Linked DNA regions of Stegostoma tigrinum. The protein of the gene in region 1 purifies or fractionates together with the protein of each later gene. This does not show direct contact. Links are inferred from orthologs where the notes say so. Each region holds a gene or a part of one and is shown on either strand. Other genes may lie near its edges. The genes, in order: pim1 and edc3.

The links.
Region 2: the proteins of pim1 (region 1) and edc3 purify together in Homo sapiens (affinity purification with mass spectrometry; 3 studies listed by BioGRID and IntAct, counting the BioPlex papers as one, with this or other methods). This does not show direct contact. The link is inferred for Stegostoma tigrinum from reciprocal best matches to the Homo sapiens genes PIM1 and EDC3.

Annotation. Positions count from the first base shown.
Region 1 is NC_081374.1:24,523,005-24,535,331, forward strand, and holds the start of pim1 (serine/threonine-protein kinase pim-1), read left to right. Parts: upstream 1-7,334; 5' UTR 7,335-7,711; coding exon 7,712-7,796; intron 7,797-7,973; coding exon 7,974-8,074; intron 8,075-8,233; coding exon 8,234-8,284; intron 8,285-8,492; coding exon 8,493-8,859; intron 8,860-11,020; coding exon 11,021-11,197; intron 11,198-11,580; coding exon 11,581-11,768; 3' UTR 11,769-12,327. UniProt on the Homo sapiens protein: Proto-oncogene with serine/threonine kinase activity involved in cell survival and cell proliferation and thus providing a selective advantage in tumorigenesis.
Region 2 is NC_081389.1:17,319,355-17,332,371, reverse strand, and holds the start of edc3 (enhancer of mRNA-decapping protein 3), read left to right. Parts: upstream 1-7,742; 5' UTR 7,743-7,854; intron 7,855-11,248; 5' UTR 11,249-11,262; coding exon 11,263-11,426; intron 11,427-13,017. UniProt on the Homo sapiens protein: Binds single-stranded RNA. Involved in the process of mRNA degradation and in the positive regulation of mRNA decapping. May play a role in spermiogenesis and oogenesis.

The DNA.
Region 1 (12,327 bases):
GTCTCTCTCTAATAATGATTTCTTGTTAGTTCATCACAACTGGTTTTAGATTAATAGACCTCCAAATTTTAATATCATCTGTCATGTTCTTAAACAGTCGAATGGTTTTGGCAATTTTTCAGTCAAGGAGGCCAATTCATGAATCAAGAGTATTTTGGGAGATCATGATGAATCTATAACAAATTCCTATTTCTTTTAGTTCCATTGTGTTGGTGCACTTAGGGAATTCCCTTAATACCTACGCGGTCCTCTTCTTCTGTTTCGGAGTCACCTATTCTCTCTTTGCCTGCACTTATTAAAGATGCCAGATTACCATATTCTGGAGTGTGCTGGCTACAAACCTCTCAACCTCATGAATGCTGCATAGCTCTCCCCAGCTAGCCATTGAGCTCCAAGACCTGGAGTTTGATTTTCTCCCCTTGGAGGCACCTCCTAAGCACATGAGCATCTAGGACTTCCCATACAGTGCAGTTTGTGTAAATCCCTGGCCTGAGATCCCTTGGCATATCCTAACTATGTAGAATATGGATCCTTGCTTTTATTTTTCACTTCACATTTTTCAATGTAAATTGGAGAGATCATATTTTATTCTATCAGATAGACAACCAGGGCCCTTTAATTCCATTAAGCAATGAAATTTGAAGTTTCGAGTGCAAAGTTTTAGAAGTTCTATAATATTAATTGTCAGTGTAACATTCTTAAGCTGTAATTATAGACTTAACTTAAATCAATATCCAGTTTCAAGAGAGAGATACCCACCATCTATCTACTTGTACTCCTGCGACATCATACTTGGCCTTGATGAAGCAACTCTCCTGCTAGTATGTCAGTTTCTGGGACGTCACTACTCTCACTGCTCCTTTTAAACTTACTGCTACTGCTCCCAAATCACACAAAGTTTTGTCACTGATCTGTCTGTTTCTGGGACTTCTTTGATCCCACTATTCCCATTCACCTCACTGCCAACGCTCCCAAGTTTCATAAAGCTCCATAGCATAGATCATGCAGCCTCTCAAGTCTTCTCTGCCATTCAATACAATTACAGCTAATCTTCTGCCTCTACTCCACTTTCCTATACACTGTCCGCAGCTTTTGACTCTCTACAATGTCAGAAAGCTGCTTTTCTCAGACGTGAGTATAATTAACAGTGGAGCATCTACAACCACCTGGGCTAGACAACAATTCACATTACAAACTATCATTGACCAATGAAGGTTTTCTTCATCTCAGTCCTAAATGATTGCCTTCTCTTATTCTGAGGTTGTTCTCCTACAATTTCTACAAATATTCTCCAGTTCTCCAGCAATGGGAAACTTTCTGTCAGTGTCTATCCTGTTATGGCTCTCACAATCTTGTTCATTAAAAAGATTATGTCTCATTTTCTAAACTCAAGCAATTGAAGGCCCAACATATTCAGCCACTATCACAGGCCAATCCTCATTCTGCGAATTAATTTAGTAATATATTGCTGCGTTGCCTGCAAGGCATTATATCCTACTTTAAATATGGAGACCAAGGACTGGATTTTCATGTTGTACAGGAAAAAAAAGCTAGTTTCGTCCTTTTTTTGTGGCATTTGATCCATATTCTCAACATAATTTCATTTCCAAGGGACGTGGACAGGGAAGGCTCAGGTTTTGCAAGCTGTGAGGCAATGCAAGAAAAGTGAGGGAGGAAAGCAGATGCTGACGTAGGCCGATTAGAAGCGCTTCTCAGTTCTTAGGGACAACAACATATCTCACACAACATTTTTCTTATATTCCTAAGCCTCACACCCATCAATTCTCACGTATTTTTCATGCCTCCCCGTTCCCCCTCCATTCTGCATAGCCACGAATGTAGTATCTACTACATGTAGTTACAGTATTGAATTTTGGACTCTTTGCTGTAGGAAGGATGTTGTGAAACTTGAAAGGGTTCAGAAAAGATTTGCAAGGATGTTGCCAGGGTTGGAGGGTTTGAGCTATAGGGAGAGGCTGAATAGGTTGGGGCTATTTTCCCTGTAGCATCACAGAGTGAGGAGTGACCTAATAGAGGTTTACAAAATCATGAGGGGCATGGATAAGGTGAATAGATTCACGGTCACAGAAACAGACTCTTTGCTCCAATTCGTCCATGCCGATCAGATATCCTAAATCAATCTAGTCCCATTTGGCAGCATTTGGCACATATCCCTCCCAACCGTTCCTATACATATACCCATCCAGATGTGTTTTAAATGTTGTAATTGTCACTTCCCATGTGTTCTCTACCTTTGATCTCTCTTCCTCTCTTTTAAAATGCCATTGTTTTGATCTTTTTTCACAAAGTTCCAAAACAATGCAACAGCTAATATAATAATAATTACTGCTCCTAGAATTTGAGGAAATCAGCTCCAACACTGAAAATCCCTCAAAAAATGAAACAACTCTTACAGTCACAATTTTTCCTCTTTCTTGGATTACACAGAAGCCTTAGCCAAGGTCTTTTCCCGGGGGTGGGAAAGTCCAAAACTGAAGGACATAGTTTTAAGACGATAGGGGAAAGATTTAAAAGGGACTAAGGGGCAACTATTTCACACAGAGGATGCTGTACATATGGAATGAATTACCAGATTAGGTGGTGGAGGCTGGTACGTTAAATAAAGACATCTGGATGGGTGTATGAATAGGAACGGTTTAGAGGGATATGGGGTAAATGCTGGCAATTTTGGCTATATTTATTTAGGACGTCTGGTTGGCATGGACAAGTTGGACCGAAGGGTCTGTTTCCATGCTGTACAGGTCTATGACCCTATATCTCTATGTAGACATTCAGGATGTTTTGAAATGAATATTAAAAACTTACTAACTTCTAACACTGTAGATCCCACACTCAAAGACACATCATAGTGAAATGATTCTTAAATAAGTTAAGATATCCCCTCACTTACATAAATTATTGTAAATACAAACACTTATTATATCATATATGTTTATTATATCATTTACGATATCCATTTAATATATATACACTACATTAATGCTACTATCCTTTAATAACCCTTTAAAATGGTCAATCAAAATGCGAACACCCCCACAGACAGCCTACTGTAAATGGTCCTGGAATTGTTGAAATTCAGCTAAGCATTCAAAACAAATAAATAGGATTTTAGCCAACCCTGAGAATTGTAATCAACATTGCCCATTGAAATTACAAGAATAGGCTACTTTTTAAAAAAACTGTAGGTGTTGTTTAATTTCCACTTGAAAGCAAAATACCCTTCAGTCAATGGATCAGAACAGGTGATAGTAGGACCTGCAGATGCTGGAGAATCTGAGATAACAAGGTGTCGAACTGGGTGAACACAGCAGGCCAAGCAGCATCATAGGAGCAGGAAGGCTGATGTTTCGGGCCTAGACCCTTCCGAAACCTCAGCCTTCCTGCTCCTCTGATGCTCATTTGGATCAGAACAGGTGCTTATTTTGTTTACTTTCAACAGCAGTGAATTTTTTCAATATCTTCTGAACTTAAATCACAGCACAAAACATGACAGGTGTTTTGCCTGCCCATTGGTATGCAGTTTTAAATAGATTATGTCATTTTCTCCAGTGAAAATGTTCTCTGTTGCTTCCAGCACTTAAATAATGCTCATCAGTGTAATGGTCAACATATCTTTTCAGGACAGAACCCTATGATGAATCACTGAATTAAAATGCTGTATATTGCAATACAGCATCTGACAGTAACATTTTAAGTTGTCAAATTACTTAACACTTGCCTCTAAGAATATTTCTGATTGGACAGGCTTCCCAGTTGGAACTCTCCAACAAGGTATGGTTTATTTTCAGCCTTCCACAACCATCAATGGTATACCAGTACAGTGGACAGAGGAAGTTCAAATTTATGATGTGGCTCAATTTCAGGAGTCACAACTCAAAGCCTACCTAATCCATGAAATTAAAATGCAATAGCCAAAAATAGTGCCTGATCCAGGGGGGAGAGAACATTTGTGTTTTCTGTAGTGAAATACAGCAAGATTCCATACCAACATCATGCACATTGAGATAAATATTCAACCCTGAAACTACTGCTCATCCTGCTGTAGTCTCACAAAAACCCAATACTGTACAATTATAGTAATATTTTCTTTTTCTTGCACTCCAGCCCCTTTGCAATAAAGTCTAATGCGCTAATTGCATTTCCAATTGCTTGTTGTAAATGCATGCTAACTTTCTGTGTTCCTCGTGTGAATACACCAAAGTCTATCTGAACATCAGCATGTGCAAGTTACATGATTTTAAAAATATTCTGTTTTCTTGCGACCACAGTGAATAAGCTCAGAGTTTTCCCGCAACCTACTTCATCTGCCATCATGTTGCCCAATCATTTAACCTGTCTGTATCACTCTAGGCAGCCTGTTTGTATCCTCCTTATATCTCATTTTATATCAACAGAAAACTTGGATACAGTATTCTGTCTCTTAGTCAAAGTAATTAATAAAATGTTCTCAACATGTCTTTGCTGTCCTTACATTCCCTTTCTTTCAACTTTGTACTGTCTCTCATTTCTCTTGTTCTTCAAAATTGTTAAATCACAGATGGTTGTGGGTTATTTTTGAACACCTCCCACTGTTTACATCTAATGTTGTGTTATGTTTAATCATTCTTCCCGTCGGTGATGATCAATTTTTGCCCCAGCTGCAAAGTCAGCCTTCTTACATCGATTTAAAATGTGGTTGTGGTCCTCATCATATCTAATATTGAATTCTATTGTGCTGACTATGGACTAGGTATTTCTTTTAGTTTGATTATTGATTACAGAGATCTTCAGTTTAATAATTTATTCTGAATAAGATTTCCTCATTAGTGATTCAATTCTGAGATGGCTTTAATTTAGTTCCAAAACATCAGTGCCCATGAGGTAGTAATACAGCTGACTTTTTGTTGGCAGTTTGGCGTGCATCTGCAGCTGGGGTAACCAAGAACAGGCGAGAGTTAGTAGTGTCAATGTGTCAGTTCACAGATGTTGCTCCAATTAACATTAAACTAACACTTTTAGAAATTGAGCAGCTACTCTGCCTTAATCGTTTAAATCTTGCTTAATTTGGATTTACTTCAAAAGTAATTGTGGCTATCATTATAAAAATACCACACAAATCTTCTTTTGCACGAATTTATTGTGGGAATTGCATTCCATTGTCAACACGACAAGCAGCTAACAAAGCTGTGGTGGGTGGCACAGCAACAAATTTCTACTTTGTTCCCCTTGTTATCTGGCAGCCTGGGTACGGGGTGGTCCTATGGTGAGTCGATGCCACTTTCTCCGTACATCTAAAAAGAATCTGGTGGTCCCGATCGAAGGAAACATTCAGTTTCCTACACAGAGGAGAGTCAGTTCCCGGGGATGGTAAGCAAGATTACAGAGCCAGTCACCCGAAGCCTGGCTATTCTTGTGTACCACCAGGTATCTGGGTCAAAAGTGATATTGGAGATAGGCTGGAAGCAAAATCTCCTGCGTGACCTTACACGGCTCGGACATGGTATGTGACCCAGAGTGAGCATGAGAGGAACAGAAGAAAATGTAAATAACATTTTTTAAAAATCTCTTTAACGCCCTTCGCACAGCTCTCCACAACAGTTCAAATTTCGGTTTTGTTTTGATTCACAGTTATCAAACTCCACCCAATAGGATTTGAATCTGAACTTTCAAGTTGTAATCATTTCAGTACACCCTTGGAAGCAAAAACAGTGAGGAAATTCCTGAGATGTGATGCGTTGCAAAAAAGAAGCTTTCATGTTTTGAGCAGCGACCTCCATCGACTAACACTGGCTATGTTACAGTTTCGCTTGCTCTAACTTGTACCTGATCTCGGGGGAAAAAAAAGGCAGCTTTTTGTGATTCATTCCCACATGCTGAAAGGCGGCGGCCACCCAATTCGAAACTATGTCAGGAATGCAGCATCTTCTCACTGGCACCATTCAGAGCAGATTTGTATCGCCCTGCGGTTTTCCCAGAAATTATTCATCTCATTGCAAAACTCATTAACTCATTCTCCCTGAAATCTAAAATTAAGCCCCAAACCTGAAGGGTTTCGCCTGGCCAGATGAATAACAATTAATTTGGCATCAGTAAAAGACCATATCTACATTGATGTTCGCAGTTTACGATCGGGCGGGAAATAACAGAGTCCGAACTATTTTGTCCACACCCATTAATTATCACTGCAAAAATCTTTCCTTTCATCCTATCCAGTTTTCATGCACAAATGCATGAAAAATAAATGGAAGTGACTTTAGAAGCACTGTTGCTAACATGCACCTTGCATAAATGGTAGCTGAATAACGGGTGGCCACATGTTTGCAACAAAAAAAATCAAAAATTTAAACTACCTGTAATTGTGGTTGCGAATTCGAAATACATTTAAACATTACATTTTGCATAATATTGCACACTGATTAACCTTAAAGAGTTCTAATATTCTGATTCATTTATTTTGAGCACAATTGGATGTAATTCTTGATTAGTGTTTATTTTTGTCACCAATTGTGCACGCCCCCTTTAGGTGATAATTAACTCTAACGTGTGTACAGCAGATTGTTTTTATTGAAAATTAATATAGAAATCAAGCTATTTTAAAATATAAAGTACAGCAAAGATCGCAATGAATACAAAAAGGCCCGCAGTAACATTTCCTGGGCACTTGCGCATTCTGCCTTTCCGATAATCGTCAGTTGTGAGGTCAAATTAAATAATTCCCTCTTTCAAATGTAGCGGTGTTAGACATCCACAATGGAATTAACCTTGCAACATACTTGGCGGAAACACCTCTGTATATTGTACAACATGACTTTAAATACAAATAAAACCTTATTAATCGGGAAAGTTATAAAATGGGAGGAGCATTTTTGTGCACTGGAGATTTTCGAGTATAACATTTTAAGACAATATGTTGTGAAATCGCCCACTACACTAGAACAATGCATTCACGGTAAGGATCTGCATAGTTCAGCTCAAAACACGCCTCTGCATTTTTTGAACTACTCGGTTCGCTCCTGCCAAATGTATTGCCTGCAAAACTGCAGTGGCTACTCCCGCGGAAAGGAAAAAAAAAACGCCATTGTCGCTCCCCTTTAAAAATATTTGTCTACAGCCAGTGGATCAAAGCTATTTGTAAGCAGACATGCAAGAGGCATTTTTTGGCGCGTAGTCATTCCCGCCACGTCGAGTCTAGTCAGTTTCATTCTTTTATTTTTTTCGCTCTGTGATAGGCAGATCATTGCTACCCTCCTATTGGATTGCCTGACGTATTTCAAAGTGGGCAGTTCCTCTGAGGTTTGCTGATGGTGTACGGCTCGCCCTTTTTTTTACTATCTGTATATAGTGGTTGCTACTAACAGAACGCACTCCAAGTAAAGCCGGGGAATCAGCGTGATACAAAGACGCGGCTCTGATCCTTTTCTCCACCCCCATCACCCGCCCCCTTTTACATTTTCCTTCCTCATCCAAAAGAACTGATTTCCTGCTCGAAAGGGACTTAATCATCTGCCCGGGACACTGGGAGAAACAGACGCTTTGGAATAAGGGAAACATTTGTAGGATCGCAGCTGTGTGTTTCTTCGCAACGTGGTGTGGGTGAAATTTGCCGGCTTCCCCCCCACCCCCTTACCCTCTCTACTCCCTTTTTGGTGAAATCCCACTCGGAACCTTGGAAGTGATAACCGAGTCTGCAGTCGAGGTTTTCCAGAGGGGGATGCTGCTTTCAAAGATCGGATCCTTCACTCATATGTACTCGACATCAAACGTGGATATGCCGGCGAAAATTCAGTTGCAACAAGGTATCTGTTTAACATTTCCTACGTGTTTACGGAGCCTCCCTGTCTCACTGTGAAAGGGGTTTTGTGTTGTAACGGTGTTATCGTTAACCATGTGGAGCTCGGAGACAACAAAAGAGGCGCCGATTTCGTGATAGTGAAGATGGGCTAATCTTTTCTCCCTCCTTTCTGTTCTTCCAGTGAAAGAGCCTTTTGAAAAGATTTACCAAGTTGGATCTGTCCTCGGTAGTGGTGGATTTGGGACTGTTTATTCTGGGGTTCGAGTTGCTGATGGCGTGCAGGTAACTATGTTTTGAAGTCTGCGTTTCCCTCTCTGTTTTATCTCCCCAAACTTTGTGCAAATCCTTCTGAACAACCACCACCCCCCTCCAAAAAATACCTTTTTCATAGACGACTCGCTGGATTCGGTGACTGAATGGACCTTTCTGTTTATATTGCAGGTTGCGATCAAACACGTTGCTAGAGATCGGGTGTCAGAATGGGCTGAACTGGTAAGTAAAATGCGAAACTCGTGCCTTTTTGTATGCCTTTGTAATCACAGTATCAAGTCCTTTTTAAAATGAAATCCTATTTTGACAGATGTATTTAACTATTTACATTGAGGCGGGAAGTAAGCGATACATGAAGTTGTGGGTTGGGATGCGGAGTGATTGCTTGGTGTTTCATTGGGTTTATTTTTTGTGTGTGTTCTCCCTGCAGTCTAATGGAGCAAGGGTTCCCATGGAGATAGCGCTTCTGAAGAGGGTGGGCACGGGCTGTCGGGGTGTAATCAAAATGCTGGACTGGTTCGAGAGACCCGACAGCTTCATCATCGTCATGGAGAGACCTGAGCACGTTAAGGACTTGTTTGATTTTATCACCGAGAAGGGAGCCCTACCGGAGGACTTGGCTAAAAACTTTTTCCGCCAGATCCTGGAGGCGGTGAGACACTGTCATAACTGCGGAGTGGTTCACCGAGATATCAAGGACGAGAATATCCTGATTGATATGAGGACCGGGGAGCTCAAACTCATCGATTTTGGCTCGGGGGCTCTGTTAAAGGATACCGTCTACACTGATTTTGATGGTGAGCAATATTACTACAAAGGGGAATTTCCACCATTAAAAATAAGCTTAATTAGTCCAGTCAGTCCTGTTGCGTTAAGATACCAGAGGCTAGTGTTAAATGAGATTCAGCATTCCGAAATGACTTAATAAATTACATATTTAGACTTTAGTTTTGGAAAGAGTTATTTTGAGGTGATTGGATTTGGAATCCATTTGTCATAGTGAGATTTTTTTGCGCGGTAGTAACAAGCCGTTTTGTTATTGTTTTGATGGCTTTATTTCCTTATTTGGATGGTGATGTGGCTGCGACGGGGCGCCTGCTTGTCAGAGGCGTAGCGTTGATCGAAAGAGTGCAGCGCAAACACTGTCTCGCTGCAATGGGCGGCCAGAGGCAGGGGGCTCTTAAGGTAACATCAAATCACGAGGGATGGATGCGTAATTAATGGGGAGGTGGTGGGAATTGCCGAGCGCCAGAAACAAAAAACCCACCCGCCCACATAAAACTATTACCCAGATACAAGAGGCTGAATCATAACAGGCTGAGAAATTTCGAGTCGTGATATTTATGGGCAGTGTTTACAAGAGCTTGGGGAAGGGGGCATTTGCAGGGTTATTTTGCCTCTGTTTTTTGGAAAAAATAAAATGAAATGATTGATTTGTTTTTGTTTTGTGTTATCTCTCTCAGTGATCCAGGGCTTGGGTGGATCAAAGAGGGGAGGGAGGAGTGGGCTTAGGCTGGGGCTACAGCAGACAGACAGGACGGAGTCTCCCTCTGCCAGATGTTGGGAAGAGGAGAGGTGATGTCCGTCCGTCTCGGGGTTTGTAATGTAGCCTGTAGACGGCGTGTCTCCCTCCTGTTGTTGTTCCCAGTGTTTGCTGCCGTCGTTGGCTGAGTTTCTGGCAATGTGCCACCCTTTTGTTTTGGAGATTGCTTTCCTCCTGTGTAACGCTGTTTTCCTTTTCTTTCCTATTTGGAAACTGATGCAAATAATCAGGTTTTTTTTACACTGGAGCCGAGGTGAATCTTGTTTTTATTTATCTTGTGCCTCTTCTGTGTTTTTTTTAAATTACAAATGTTGCCCACATTTTCAGCTCTTCCCCCAAGTTTCGTCATGGAATTGTTTTGAAACCCGATAATCATGTTACCTGGGGCTATGGTGACGGGAAATAGGTTACTCTCTTGTTGATATCAAGTGGCCGATTGATAAATTATTAAGTTAGCTCAATGTCAGGGCTGGAGTGGAATAAACCCTCTGAAAAGACGTGGGGAGGCTGTTCTTTTAACTGCGAAAACCAAGAAGCAGTTTAAAACCAAACCATTGACATTTCAGAACAGCATTTTTAATGGTCCCTTTTGTGCCATGTGATTTAATCTGTGTACGTAACTTATTAACGTCCATTTTCCAAATTAAGACAGCACTGACTTTTATTTAAAAAATAGTATTTATGTGTAAAATTATTTTTTAAAAATCGCTTCTCATGCATCTTAGCTTTAATGCTTGAAGCTGGCTGTTGTAAAGGTGCAGCTTTGGGGCTGCGCCCCGCAGAGGTGACGGCGCAGCCCATTGCCTATTTTCAAACATTAAACTCGTCTCCGAAGAACAACCAAAAATAAAAGAAAACCGTTAGTGAAAATTTTGAGTGTTTGGCGCCACCGGCAGGCGGGAGCGTGTGCTTTTTACAACTGAAAGTTTGTAAACAAAAAAATCACATGGCAACGAGTCAATAACTGCCAGTTCACGGCAGGGCAAGCAGGAAGCTTCAGGTTAACCACATTTCCTGCAAGCTAAGGGCGGAACGAGATAGTGTAGATGATTTGAATTTCAAGAGCTCAGCGCACTCTTTTGTTTACAAGAAATATGGCAAACGCTTTATCTTCTGTCTGCCAATAACAAGTTGCTCGAATCAAATGTGAAATGTTTTGACCTTGTGTGCAGCTTGGTTCCCATAAAATGCAACTACAGAAATCTGTACTGGACTTATTTTTAAGCTTTGTTATTATTTTATTACTTTAAGTCCATGGAGGAATGTGCAATAATCAGATCAGTTGTGATCTTATTGAAAGCCAGAGCGGGCTTCAGTAGTTTGCTTCGGCCCTGAATTTGTACGTTTGCATTTTAACAGCATAAAGGAATACCGGGAATGGTTTCATAAATGTGGATCTTTGTGTTGATTTGTAGGCACCAGAGTGTACAGCCCACCAGAGTGGATTCGCCATCACAGATATCACGGCAGATCTGCCACAGTTTGGTCCCTTGGAGTGCTTCTGTATGACATGGTATGTGGGGACATTCCGTTTGAGCAGGACGAAGAGATAATTCGAGGACAGGTGCTGTTCCGGCGGAGAATTTCATCTGGTAAGCAGCTTTTCCTACCTCCCATCTGAATGGAGGGAAATTGAAATATTTCTAGAAGATCTCCATCCTCTATACTGTGTAAATTTAGTCAATCATCATTGCTTTAAATAGTTTCATGGAATTTGTCAGGTACTTACCACAGTCAAATGCACTGTGACTTTTAATGATGTTTTGTACATACAATTAATATGTCAGTGGTATGTATCGTTATCACTAAAGTATTTATCTGCTTATATTAGACTGCCACAAAAATCTCAACTGGGTTACACACCATAGTTACTACTTTATATCTGTCTGCTGAGTTGACAAACTGTTACATGTATGGAAAGTATAATCAGAAACTCAACACTGTTTATAATCCACGATTTCCTTCTTGCTTTCAGAATGTCAAAATCTCATCAAGTTCTGTCTATCCTTGAGGCCTTCAGATCGACCCTCATTTGAAGACATGATTAACCATCCCTGGATGCAGAACAGCATTGTTTCACAAGATACCATTGGACTAAGATTACACAGTCTGAGCCAAGAGTCACCCAACATTAGCTCAAGTAAATTAGAACTTGTGAAATAATGTGAACCGATGGTCACAAAACTGAACTGTCTCTGCCTTCCTTCCGAAGAACCAAATAACTCGCCTGGTTTCACTCACCAGATTCCATGGCCTTTTAAATCTACTGATTAGTGGGAGGGGTGATGAAGAACCAGAATCCTCTCCTTTGCAAGCGTCGGTTGTCATTAACTTGAATCATGCATTACGACAAGCCTGGCTCTTCCTCTTCGAGTGCCTTTTTTTATGAACGCTGGATCCACTAACTTAGAAAAGAAATACTTGAACTTCTGCTGCTTCTGAATAACTTGACTTTCCTTCGCACAATCTTCATACATAACACACACAGGGACTGGTCTAGTCTAGCTACTATTTTGTTTACAGCCTTCCAATAAAATAACTGAAGAGAACCCTTGTCACCTGAAGATCACCACTAATCAGAAAAGAGTCAACCTCAACTCTTCTTCATTCAGCTTACTTATTCAATACACTCAATATGAATATGAAGCCACGGCATGTCAGAGCATCATCATCAATGCACAACCAATGCAATGAATGAACTCTAACCATTTGTATATGTGTA
Region 2 (13,017 bases), on another chromosome or scaffold:
ATCATTAAAGTGGTTCTGCTTCTTAGTGCAAGATCTACAACTTCAAGAAAGTGACGTCAAATTTTAAAAAATTCTATTCATGTGATGTGGTATTCAGCATTTATTGCCCATCCCAAGTTTCCCTTTAGTAGATGGTGCTGAGCTGCCTTGAACCACTGCAGTCCATTCTGTACTGGTACATCCACAAAACCATTTGGGAGTTAAGAATTTTGACTCAATGACATTGAAGGAGCAGTGACACGTTTCCAAGTCAGGATGATGAGAGGCTTGGAGGGGAACTTGAAGGTGGTCATGTTGCCATGTTTGTGTTGCCCTTCTCCTTCTTGATAGTAATGGCCGTGGATCCAGAAGGTAATACAGTGTGGAGCTGGAGGAACACAGCAAGTCAGGCGGCATTAGAGGAGCAGGAAAGTTGATGTTTAGGTCTGAGACCTTCATCAGGACTGGGGAGGGGGGTAGGAAGCTGGTAAATAAATAGAGGAAGGAGGCATGAGGCTGGGGGAAGGTAGGTGGGATGGTGAGAGGTGGATGCAGCTTGGGGATAGTGGAGATTGGTCAGTGGGAAGGGTCAGTGGTGAGAGGTGGATGCAGCTAGGGGATAGTGGGGGGTTGGTCAGTGGCAATTTTGACTCTTTGCTCTATACATGATGGAGGTCATGGCAATGCGTTGAACCTGCCTTCGGAGAGAGAACAAATAAAGAAGTAATAATTGATGTACACTGAGGTGCAAAAAGAAAATCAAAGCCAGTGAAATATATTAATGAAATTTTATGATAAGAAAAATCATGAACCTAAACAAGCACATGTTGTACTTTGGAGTAGATCAAAAATTGGACAGTTTTTCTCTTCCTCGTTGCACCTCATCAATTTTTTCTTTCCTTGACTTGAAAGTTTACATTGAATATTCATAAATGAGCCTTGACAATGAGCGTCAGTAGTATACTTGGTTATAAAGGATATCTAATCCATACATACACTGAAGGCATGTTACAAAATGATTTGACAGACCTATATCTAGGTTTGTAAAATTATGATGACTTTGACAGAATGGATATATAGAGTGGAAGAGTATTTTATATTTTATCAACACAGTATAGCCACCAAGGTATCCAATAAGGGATTGGAAGAAATATCTTTATCCAGAGGGTGAGAATTTGGAACTGTAGTTGGAGTAGTTGATGTAAATAGTTTAAATACATAAAGGGGAAACAAGGTTAAAGATATGAGGAGAAGGAAATAGATTGTTCAGTGGTGTTTTTAGATGAGGAAAGGTTGGAGGAAGCTCAAGTGATGGATAAGCGCTGACATAGGCTGATGCATGCATAGGTTAGGTAATTTAAGCATTCTTAAACATGTTGTTCTGTTGAGGTCATTGCACCAGATTTGGAACCATGGCTGAATTTTTTGTGAAATACAGGACAGTTCATAGGGTGATACTTCTTATCGCAAGCAGATCTTTACCCTCAGGAACATTAAAGAACAGAGCCCAGAGTATCAGAAGCCACATGTCATCAAGTTAATTAATTTCAACACGTCTTTAAGCATCCATCAGTAGTCACTCTGGTGTATCACAACACAGTATTGTACCCAGTAATGGATAATTAATGTTCTCAAAGCCTTATTACACAACACTAGCTGTAGACTCCTACAAAATCACCACAGGACTACAGAAAGGCTGTATATTCTTTTCTCATTCTTATTCCTTTTGGTTATTGATTTTCATCAAGACAAAGACCATGGTGGTCCAGACTGCAGACTAGCAGACAACAATGCCTTGCTGGCTGAAGATTCATACTTCCTAGACATGAACACAAGTACTGAGTATAGATGTGCTAATGTTGGTTTACACTGTCAGCTGTTAGAAGACCAAGACAACAATGACTGGATGGCAAAAAGCCAACTCTACCATCGCCATAGGCCAAAAGAATATTCAGCAGATGGATCACCTCCCCTACCTAGGAAGCAACATCTCCAACATGGCAAAACAACACTGGTCTTCCAATGATCGCATATGGTGTTGGTGTTGAGCACCATCAATATGGCTAATAAGCTGTGATTCTACATGCTCACTGTGGTACCAACTGCAATCCATGCCAGTGAGGCCTGAAAGAGAACAGCAAAGGTGTCACATAAATTGGATGTCATCTATCAAGGTTGCATATGTAAGATCTTAGGCATCACTTGGGTTGATGACATCGCTAACGAATAAGTGTTACACAGGACTGTAACACTTGTCCTGTGCCTACAGTGTAACAAGATGGAGAGATCACTGTGACTAGCAGAACATGTTTTTTTCCTCCCAGATGTACACCTTGCCAGAGTGGCAACTGAATGGACTTCACAAGGAGGGGGAAAGATGGGGCTGGCTAAAGAAGACGTGGCAAAAATAAAACAAGTGTGGGGCATCATGTGGATGAGATTACAGTAGATGTGTGGCAGACTCTTGTTACCCATTATCCTGCACAGGACCAGAGAAACAAAGTCTGGCGTGGTTAGTTCATCAGCACAGACCAAATAAGAAACCCATTCTTTTGCTGTTGTTTAAGGCACAGTAGAGGATATCTAAGCTTGAACAACAGAGATGATGAAAACAATATAACTACTTAATATATATTGGGCTTTTATCAGTGCAGCTAGACAAAAACTAGCACCAAATTAAAAGGAGATATTAGATTAGCTGACTAAAGGTTTGGTAGATTTAAGGAGGGTTTTGAAGAAGATGGAGGTAGAGAAACCAAAGCTTAAGGAGAAAGTTCCAGAACTTTGTGCGAAAACTGCTAAAGGCATGTCCATAAGCGATGGGTTGGTAGGAATCGGCTGATTCAGAACAGCCCGAAGTTGAAGAAACATGGTGATGAACCATATTACTGGTCTGTAGAGCTAGAAAGTTATAGAGATAGGAAGGCCTGGGATTTAAACAGGAAAATCAATGTTGGCGAATGGGAGACAGTCCAAGCCAGCATGCAAAAGTATGGTAGATGAATAGAAGACAGAATGGGTTATGAAAGGAGCAACAGAGCTTTGGATATTCTTATCTTTATGGGTGACCTGCTAGGATGGTATTGACGCACTCAGTTTGGAGAAAACAAGAGAATGGGTAAGAGTTTCAGCAACGGATAGAAATGTAACTATCAGAAGACATGGAACAATCGATTGTCTGACAAATTAGTTATATTGACATTACTTTGTTAACAAATTAGTTATACTTGACATTAAATTGTTAATGTTTGATGTAATAAATTATAAGTCTCAGCTTAGTTGAAATATTAAAAATAGTGTTTATAAAGTGACCTTAGCGTGCAGGTTCATAGTTCCTTGAAAGTGCAGTCGCAGGTAGACAGTGTAGTGAAGAAGGCATTTGGTATGCTTGCCTTTATTGGTCACTGCATTGCGTAAAGGAGTCGGGAGGTCAGGTTGCGGCTGCACAGGACATTAGTTAGGCCACTTTTGGAATACAGCATTTGATTCAGGTCTCCTATTTATGGGAAAGAGCTGCGAAACTTGAAAGGGTTCAGATAAGAATTACAAGGATGTTGCCAGGCTTGGACGTTTGAACTAAAGGGAGAGGCTGAATAGGCTGGGGCTATTTTCCATGGAGCATCGGAGGCTGAGGGGTGACCTTATAGAAGTTTATAAAATCATGAGGGGCATGGATAGGGAGAATAGTCAGATCTTTTTCTCAATGTAGGAGAGTCCAAAACTAGAGGGCATAAGTTTAAGATGAGAGGGGAAAGCATTACAAAGGACCTGAAGAGCAACGTTTTCACATAGAGGGTGGTTTGTGTATGGAACGAGCTGTCAGAGGAATTGGTGGAGGCTGAAAAGGCTTTTGGATGGGTATGTGTATTGGAAGAGTTTAGAGGGACATGGGCCAAATGCTGGCAAATGGGACTAGGTTAATTTAGGAAAACTGGTTGGCATGGACGAGTTGAACTGAAGGGTCTGTTTCCGTGCTTTATATCCCAATGACCCTAATTCTGAAGTTGTGGCTTTGAACTCCTCATCCAGGCTAAAAACCTAAAACAGAGCTAAGGCTGCGCTACACTGTTAGAGGTGCCATCCTTCAGACAAAATGTTAAACAGATCCCTGTTCTGCATAATCCACTGTGATTCCATGGTGTTTCTTTTAAAAAGGAGGTCTCCTGGATAACATACTTTCATTAACTTCTACCACTAGTGGTACTGATTATCTGGTTATTTATCACCAATCCTATTTACCTTCGCTTAGCACAAGATAATTATTACAGTAATATGCTTCAAAGTGATTTGATGTTCATGACTCATATAGAAATTATAGTGCATCTTTAACATTAGCATTTATGTTTCTGTCATACTGGAACCATCAAGTCAAAACACAATGTTCTTACCATTTCCACTGGACCTTCTGTAATCTTCTCTTTTCAAATATTTAGCCAAGTTCCTTTTATATTATCAACAGTACCTCAATAACCCCGTCTTGCAAAGTATTCCATGGTCTAATGACTGTGAAAATGTTTCTTTTAACTTTTAATTTTGTTCTCGCAATGGCAGGGTTGAGTATGTACTCCCTTGTTATTAATTCATGATCCAGTTGAAACAATATTTCACTACTTGCCACATCAAGACTATTTATACTTATGAAAACCCATTACATTGCAGTTAATCTTCACTCTTTTGGGGGAAAAATCCACTGTTTCAAAGCTTGCTCTGTAATTATAATTTCTTGTTTCTCATCATTCTGTAGCCATTTGTGATTCTGATGTTCTTCCAATCACAATACTCCAGCTGCAAGCTAATTATCGCCTTGCACTAATTTAGTATCACTTTCTTCTTACATTTTATGCTCCTCTGCATACAAACCCAGAATGAAAATGGCCTTTTATTGCATTTTGCAGCCAGAATCCTTTCCTAAATAGGCTAATCTCTATTCAACTTGGATCTCCTGCGTTCCTCCACTCTCTTAAGAGTCCTTACATCGAATTATATAGGACTTACAGCACAGAAACAGACAAGTCAATTGGATCAATTTCATCAACCTGAAATTCCTTTGTTATAATGTCTTGCTTTTAAAGCCTCATCCAAATTTAACTTCAGTCACATGTGGTATTGAAACCTGTAAATTTGACCCTCAAAATTTTTGTCACTTCTACTACAGTAACACCACTGTATGCTCCCTCTCCTGCGTACTTCAAAGGGACATTTTTTTGTTGAAACACACTGATCTTCACATCATAGCCATTATCTCTCCCGTGGCAAATACTCAAACAGTCACAAGAGGTGTAACACCTTCCCCTTACCCACAGTCCCACCCCGCCACCTGCAATCATTGTCCAAGCTCTTTCAAGGTGCTGCAACAATTTACCTGTACTACTTTTAATTTAGTATGTTATATTTACTACCTGTATTGTGGTACGTTTAACACCAAGGAGCCAAATGCAGAATGAGTGACCATTTTGTGGAATGCCTCTGCCTCAGCCCACAAGCTTCTGCTTTCTTGAAAACTTATTTGATCTTGTTAATATATCAGTCTTTTGCCAGTGGAGCTCGAGAAACATCTCATCTTCTGATTTGGCACTTTTTACAGGCTTTTGAACTGGATATTGAGTTCAACAATTTCAGACCATGAGCACTGTCCCTCCATCCTGATTTTCATTTTTTTTGCCATGTGCTGTTATTGTTTCTGCGCTTTTGCTCTTGGTCAGAGCTGCTTATTATTCTTCCATTCAGGCTGGATTAATGCTTTGGTTCTTCACCATATCCATTAATTTGCTCTTTGGCTTTGTTTCATAACATCTTTGTTATTTAAATTCTCCTTTGCTTTTGCTCATCCTCTCCATCTGACATTTCAGTGGCACTTAGCCCATAACATTTCCAGCTTCCTTCAGCTCAACAAAAGAATCACATCTGAATCAAAACAAAATCTGTTTCTCTCACAACAGATACTACAAGATCAGTTGAGCATTTCCAGCTGTTTCTGTTTTTAACCACAACTCAAGCGACTCAATTCTAATTTCATTAGATGGTACCACAAGGATCTGGTTCAAGTCTCACTCCAGGGTTGACATACAAAACTCATGCCCCTTAGTCCACTGCAGTTCTAGGTTAAATTGTGCTGATTGAGGGTTTGTTTTTCAGGTAAACTGAGGACAGGCCTATCTGTTTGGGTGAATGTAAACTAATCCATTGAATTATTCTATGGAGGAACAAGAGGTTTGTTCTTGACATGCTGGCTGATATTTATCCTTCAATCAACATCATGTTAACAGGGCTATCTGGCCTTTGTCACCTTGCTGTTTGTGAGATCTTGCTGTGTGCAAACTGGCTGTCTTATTTCTTACATCAAAACAGGAACCACACTTCAGAAGTATTTCACAGTGTGAGATATGCTTTGAGATGTCTGGCGGTCATGGAAAGCATGATGTAAATGTCTTTCCTTCTTTATTTACTACATATTTGAGTCATTTTTTTGTAATCTTGGAGGTTTTAATGATGCCCTCTCTAGCATTATTGACTCACTGTTAGAGAAGATCCAACTGAAAAAATCTTTATCACAACATCATATCAGAAATTGTCGAATCAATGCCAATGTTTTCTCTCTGCGAGACATACAGTCTAATCACACTCTTGAAATCACTCCCCTTATCTTTCAACATTCATTTTTCTCAAGTAAGTTATCAATTTCCCTTCTTTAAAATAGTTTTGAGATGTCATGGTTTAAAAAGCTTTGCTTCACTCTTTGGAAAGGAGCCTTGTTGGTGCCTGTTAATGTCAGTAGCTTGCCATATTTCTTGCCATATATCCTACATGCATTCCAAATAAGTCTGTAATTTTAACATCATGCTTGCTTTACAATCCTCCAAGATCACTGCGCTTTCCCAAATGTTGGTTTTTTTTTGCATTCCCAATTTTTAAGTTATTATATTGTTGACAATATTGTTTCCTCTTCAGGAACGTGGGTTTTAAGTTCTGGAATTCTCAACCCAAAACTTACTGCATCTCCCTCCTCTTTACAATGCTGCTTAAAATTTATCTCCTTGACTCAGCATTTAAACACACTTCCAAACACAATTTATCAGTTTTTTTACTGCTCATAACATTCTACTACATTAAAAAGACATTCTCTAGCCTGAATTGACTAAACATTGTGACTTTCATAATTGTGAAGATACATATGTGAACTTAAAATTAAAGTATCTGTAGGGCAACTTTCGTTGAGTCACAGCGTTGCTATAGACCCCTTAAAGGGCTGGAAGTCATCAAATGAAGAATGAGCGTCTTGAATGATTAATAGTAATTAAGAATTGATTACTAAGCAAAGGGTCTCGGGGCGCAGTCGTTGAAACCCTACTTCTGAGCCAGGAGACCTGGACTCAAGTTCTACCTGCTTCAGAGGTGTACACTAACATCTCTAATCAAGATGATTACAAGATATCTACAGACTGATCAATCGGTGTGGTCTGGTGATTGGGAGATGCTAGCTAGACCCTACGGACTCTTGTGGTGCAGTGGTAATGTCCCTGCCTCAAAGCTCGGAAACCCTGGTTCAAATTCCTCCAGAAGTGTACAATAAGCAGACACCTCTGAGCAGGTTCATTCGGTAATATTTTGATTACTAACCGATTTTCGTTAAGAAGAGCAGGGCTGCTGACATTCAGCAGATCTCCCTAGGATGGAGATTGTCTCCCCGTTGCTATGGGAGGGAGAGGAGGGCCGGAAGTGAAGACTGGTTGCTAGGAGGGTGTGATGTCAGTGCGCGGCCCGCGCAGGCGCAGAAGTGGGACTGGCGATGGCGGAGTGGTGTGTCTGCCGTCGTTGCTGAATCTTAGTGACTCGCTGGCCAGCTCATTTTCACATCGTCCCTTCTTTAGATACGACGTAAGGGATCCTGCCGAGCTTATCGCGATGTGTCTAACCGGAAACGCTTGTATTTTCTTTTTGGGTCTGCGGGTGGGTGAGGAGTTTGGATACTGTTAGGCCTGGAAGTTGGATTGGGCCTACCGTCCACTCCAGTCTAATTCAGCAGCAAATGTCCGGTCCATCTTTTTTGCAGCTGCAGCTGCAGCCTAGTCCTAGTCCTTCGGTGATGGTGAGGAGACACTATGGAGGCATAGTGAAAATGACGCTCTGAGCTAGTAATCCAGCAAGCCTGGCTGATGCTGTGAGGCTTTGGTTTTATATTCCATCCAAGTGACTGGTGGAATACCTGTTCAGTTATTCAAACCTGGAATCTAAAGCTAACCTCAATGGGGTCCATGGCAACCATAATCAATGTTCTCAAAAATTCACTTGGTTTTATGAGGAAAATAGGTTTGCCATCCTTCTCTGGTTTGATTTACGTAATACTCCGCACCTACAGCAATATGGAACAAAAACAGAAGATGCTGAAAACGTTCAATAGGTCTGGCAACATCTGTGAAGAAACAAAAAAAGTTAATGTTTTGGCACTGATGATCCTTCTCCAGAACAGATAATATGGTTTACTCTTAACTACCCTCAGAAATGGCCTAGCAATCCGCTTGGCGAAATAGCAATTAGGGATCCACAGTAAAGTTTGGCCTTGCCAGTGGTGCCTGTATCTCAAGGGAAAGAATTATAGTTTGTTGGTTTGTTTGTCCATTTACAGCCTTCTTTCATGCTATAGCACTGGTGCTTCTGTCACTCCAAAAGTTTTCGACCGGTCCCCCTCCCCTATAATAGTCTCTCTGTGAAAACAGCAATGGCTATAAGTATGTGGATGTCTGGGAGAGAGCTACTGCAAATGTTCATCACTCAACCTGCCACATTCTGCTTTTTTGCTCTATTCCAGAAGCCCTCAAAACTAAGTGAATCTAGACAACTCCCTGCTGCACTTATGTTGATGTAGTGGCTGGAGAGAAGAGATAAATGCTTAAAGTCATGTGTTTGAATCCTCGTTTTTGGATTTGTGTGCTTACACTTTAGTGAGAGTGTGCAGGCTCAATGTTGGAACAGGCAATATATTCCACAATTACCATGCTGAATGCTGTTTTTAGCTGATAGTGTTCTCAGCTTGAAATTATAAAACTTGTATGATGTATGCAGTTTTACCAGTTTTGGAGTTTTGCTGTTGTACAAAATGGATGTTATAAGCCAAGAATGTAGTTGACTTAAGACTGACCCAGTATTTCAATTCAAAGATAAAATTTTTAAGGAGTTCTAATTTCTAATGTGATACTTTACTGATGGATTCTCAGCAGGGACATAATGACTTGTTTGTAGGTAGTAGCATTTTTAATAGATGGGTTGTATGGTTTTTGACTCTGGATTTTGAAGCATGGTTTTAAAATTCATATTGGTTTGTTTTTAAACTGATAAATCATTCCAGACATGCGTATGGAACTGTGGCCCTGCTTTCTGTGCCTTGTGTTACAAATTTGCCTCATGGTAGTGATGGGGTGTAATATTTTGATAAAATTGCATGCCATTGAACATTTTGCAGTAAGTTTTTTAACCATTTCCCCAGAACACTTCAAAAAATTTAATATTTGAGTTGTGTTCACTTTTTAACCAATTTTGACAAATGTTGAGCCAGGTATTCTGTTTTGTGCAGAGCATCTTTGTAAATTTGAAAATTCCTTTTGCAATTACATGAATTACTCAACATTTGAATGAGATTGCAGTAATTAAGATTACCAAAATTTGAGGGATCAGTGACACTCTCAGAATGTAGGATGTTAATTGTGCACAGTTTAATTTTACTTAAATGACTTGTTGCAACAGTTTACTAGAAAGTAGTTTAAAATAGTATGTTTTTGTGGTTCAAGGCATTTAAGAGTGCTGTACACTGGATATGTAACTGCACACTTAAAGGCTCCCAACTGCAGTCACTAGAGATTAGAGCAGCACTGTGGAGGCCAAGCACTCATGTAGCATGGTTCACTTTATTGCTTTTTGATTCAGTTGTTTTATAGACCAAAATATTACTGGACTGCTAATGTTCCAGATATGTCTGGACAAAAATCAGTTGCAATATTCCCATCGACATATGGAGCATTGCTTGCTCAAGACTGCCCAACCTGTGTAGATGAAGCATCTGTGCAGGTATCAGTCTGTGTCTCTGACAGTCCTACGTGGAGGTTAAACACAGGCAACTGAAGAGGCAAAAAGCTAAACATCCCATTTGTGACAGATTTTGCAGACCTGACAGTGAACAGTTTAGTCACTTCAGGACCACAACATTGGAGTGGAAGAACGTCTTGCTGTATTTCGAATGAATGCCTAAGAAGGATCGGTGAAGGGGATAGGTTAGTGGCCTGCTTATTTTGATTGCAGAGTGATACCTAGTATGGAACCAAAGGAAACTATATTCTTTGATATTCACACAAACAATGTGGGATAAGAACAGCAACGTTTGGTGAGTGTTGATGGTTCTGAGCCATGATAATTATTAGTTCACTTAAGTTTTGGAAGTGAACTAAAATGAAAAGTTAAAAGCAATATTGTTTTTGGGTTTTCTCCTTTGCCTTTTCAGAAATGTTCTCCTTAAAAGCATTGGCTTTCAAATTGTCTCAGTATTCAACTCAAGTATCGATTTATTCATGAGGGTTTGATGCAATGTGGCAGAGTGCTATTTGGCTGCATTATTAGCTTGTTGTCCGGCTAACACTTATTGCCTGTCCCCAGTTTCCCTTGAGAAGGTGGTGGTAAGCTGCCTTCTTGAATAGTTGCAGTCCTTGTACTGTCAGTTGACCCACAATACTGTTGGGATGGAAATCCAGCGTGTTTGTCCCTGCAGTGTGAAGGAACTAACTAACTGAGCATAGATCGCAGATTAAATCTTGGAATTTTTAGGTGTATGAGATCTCTTTATTATAGAGTATGTAAACTTTCTGACCAGTTGAGAAGCTGTTTTTGTTTTGATAAATTAAGTGTTGTTGCTGGAAGAAGAATTTTCAAAAAATGTGCTAAATTACTGAAGTAAAAACAAAACCATTTCAAATAATTGAAACATGGACTTGAAATATTAAATAAAAGCCACTATTATGCTGGACTGTTAGATGTTGCAGTGCATTTCATCTTTCAAGCTATTTTACGATAAATGTTGAAGGCATGTTTTCAACAAAAAAAGCAAAAAATAGATAATGCAGTGGAATAAAAAGTTGCTGTATTTTGTATGGCACCGTTACTTATACACAGATTCACAGACTGCAGTGCCTGGTTATAGTACTGCTGATAGTTTTGAGGATTAATTTGGAAATTAAAGCTGATGAAGAATGAAACGAATAACAACTGTTTCCTTGTCTTTTTTCAGTTATGCTGTAGAGGATGGCTGTAAATTGGATTGGGAGCCTTGTTTCTATTAACTGTGGTGAGACGCTTGGAGTGTATCAGGGAAAAATTTCTGCAGTGGATCAAGCCAGTCAGACAATTTCTCTAACACAGCCATTCCGCAATGGAGTGAAATGTTCCGTTCCCGAGTTAACATTTAGGTAAGTGTTTGTTATTTCAATGACTTCAATGTCAACCAGTTGCAGCCATCTAATCTGCTTGTACTTGACCATATACTTGAACAAAGGTACTTAGCAGTGATCTTGTCATCAAACTTGGATGATTTTTGGAGAGCATTTATAAGTTGCAATGTCCCTACAAAAGTGTCTCAGTCATCCTGGCTGGGGCTTATAATTGTTCTCCTTAGATCTCTCTGAGGCTTGGAAGGTGACAGGTTGAAGAGGACTAGACTTTTTGTTGCTGAAACCGTATTTCAGAGGTATGCTTCTGGAATATTTATTGATAATTTGTTGAGCAAATGTTTTCCAGTTTGAAATCTTCCTTCTTGGGTTAAAAGAGAAAGCTGTTTCATCTGTTTTATTTTGTTTGAAGTGGTGCTCGTTTGAGACAGTCAGGAGTTTATGTCCGCTGAGCAGTCCGCATGTGTAAGAATTTTGAAGTACATGAAGTATGATGAGACCTTTAACTGGTGGTATAATTGGGACTAAAATACCAATTACTATGTAATGTTACACTTCTAAAGTCATTTTAAATATGTTTAGTTATTACTGTTCCCAGTTCCTACAGGTCTGTTGGTGTTTACTGAAGCCTGTATGTCTGCATTACCCTGTCTTATGCTCAGCAGAATGTACTTTGATCATATATATCTAGAATCATCCTATCGGAAATTCTTTATCTTGTATGCAATAGGACAGAAATGATGCCTAATTACAAACAATCGCAACAGTTTCTCTTAGAGTGCAGCGTGGCTATTGGTAGGTTGACAACTCAACTTTGATTAGCTGAGATATTGCCACCGAGAAAGCAATGGGGATCTGTAGGCTTCCTCAGCTCTTGGGTTAAAAGATAGGTGCTGGACTTGAACATATGCTATCTAAGCCAACAATAGGAATATCTGTCTTTTCAACAAATTTTCTTTTTTAAAACATAAAGCTAGTTGGGTTGGGACTGTTTTGAAGAGTTACGTTGAGAGTGGTTTTCAACGGAATTCTGTGTTTGAAAAGCTTTGGGTGAAAAGTGTAGCCCCATAAAATTCAGGCTTTAAGCTTGGGCATACCTAATATAACCAGGTGAAGTGAGAGCCCAATCTCCACCGATAGAATTCCAATAAAATGTTTTTATTCTCCTGTTAATTCCCAAATCATTTCCCCCCCCACATGAAAGTTATTAGCACATGCAATTAAATGATATCACTCCACAGCTATTTACCGTCCATTATTTGTGTGCACTGAGAAAGCAATGTTTTTGTGGCCATCTGTGGCTCCAGGCCTGTCACTTGTGAATTACGACATTATAATCAATGCCTTCAGACTACTTCCCTGGTGTATAAAAGATTGTAATTAAACTTAATTTCTTCAAATGGTAGTTGGTTGTTTCAGATATTGCCTGATGTAACCATAGCCATGTGATAAATGGAAAGTCTAATTTAGTTCAGATGCTTGACCAAATTAAATGTAGGACCTCTTTGCGCTGGCAGAAATCCTGGCCATGTACTTCAAAAAAACAAGATATATTGAAATAAATGACAGTTAGAAAACAGTCTGCATGAATGAACCAGTCCATTGTTTATCT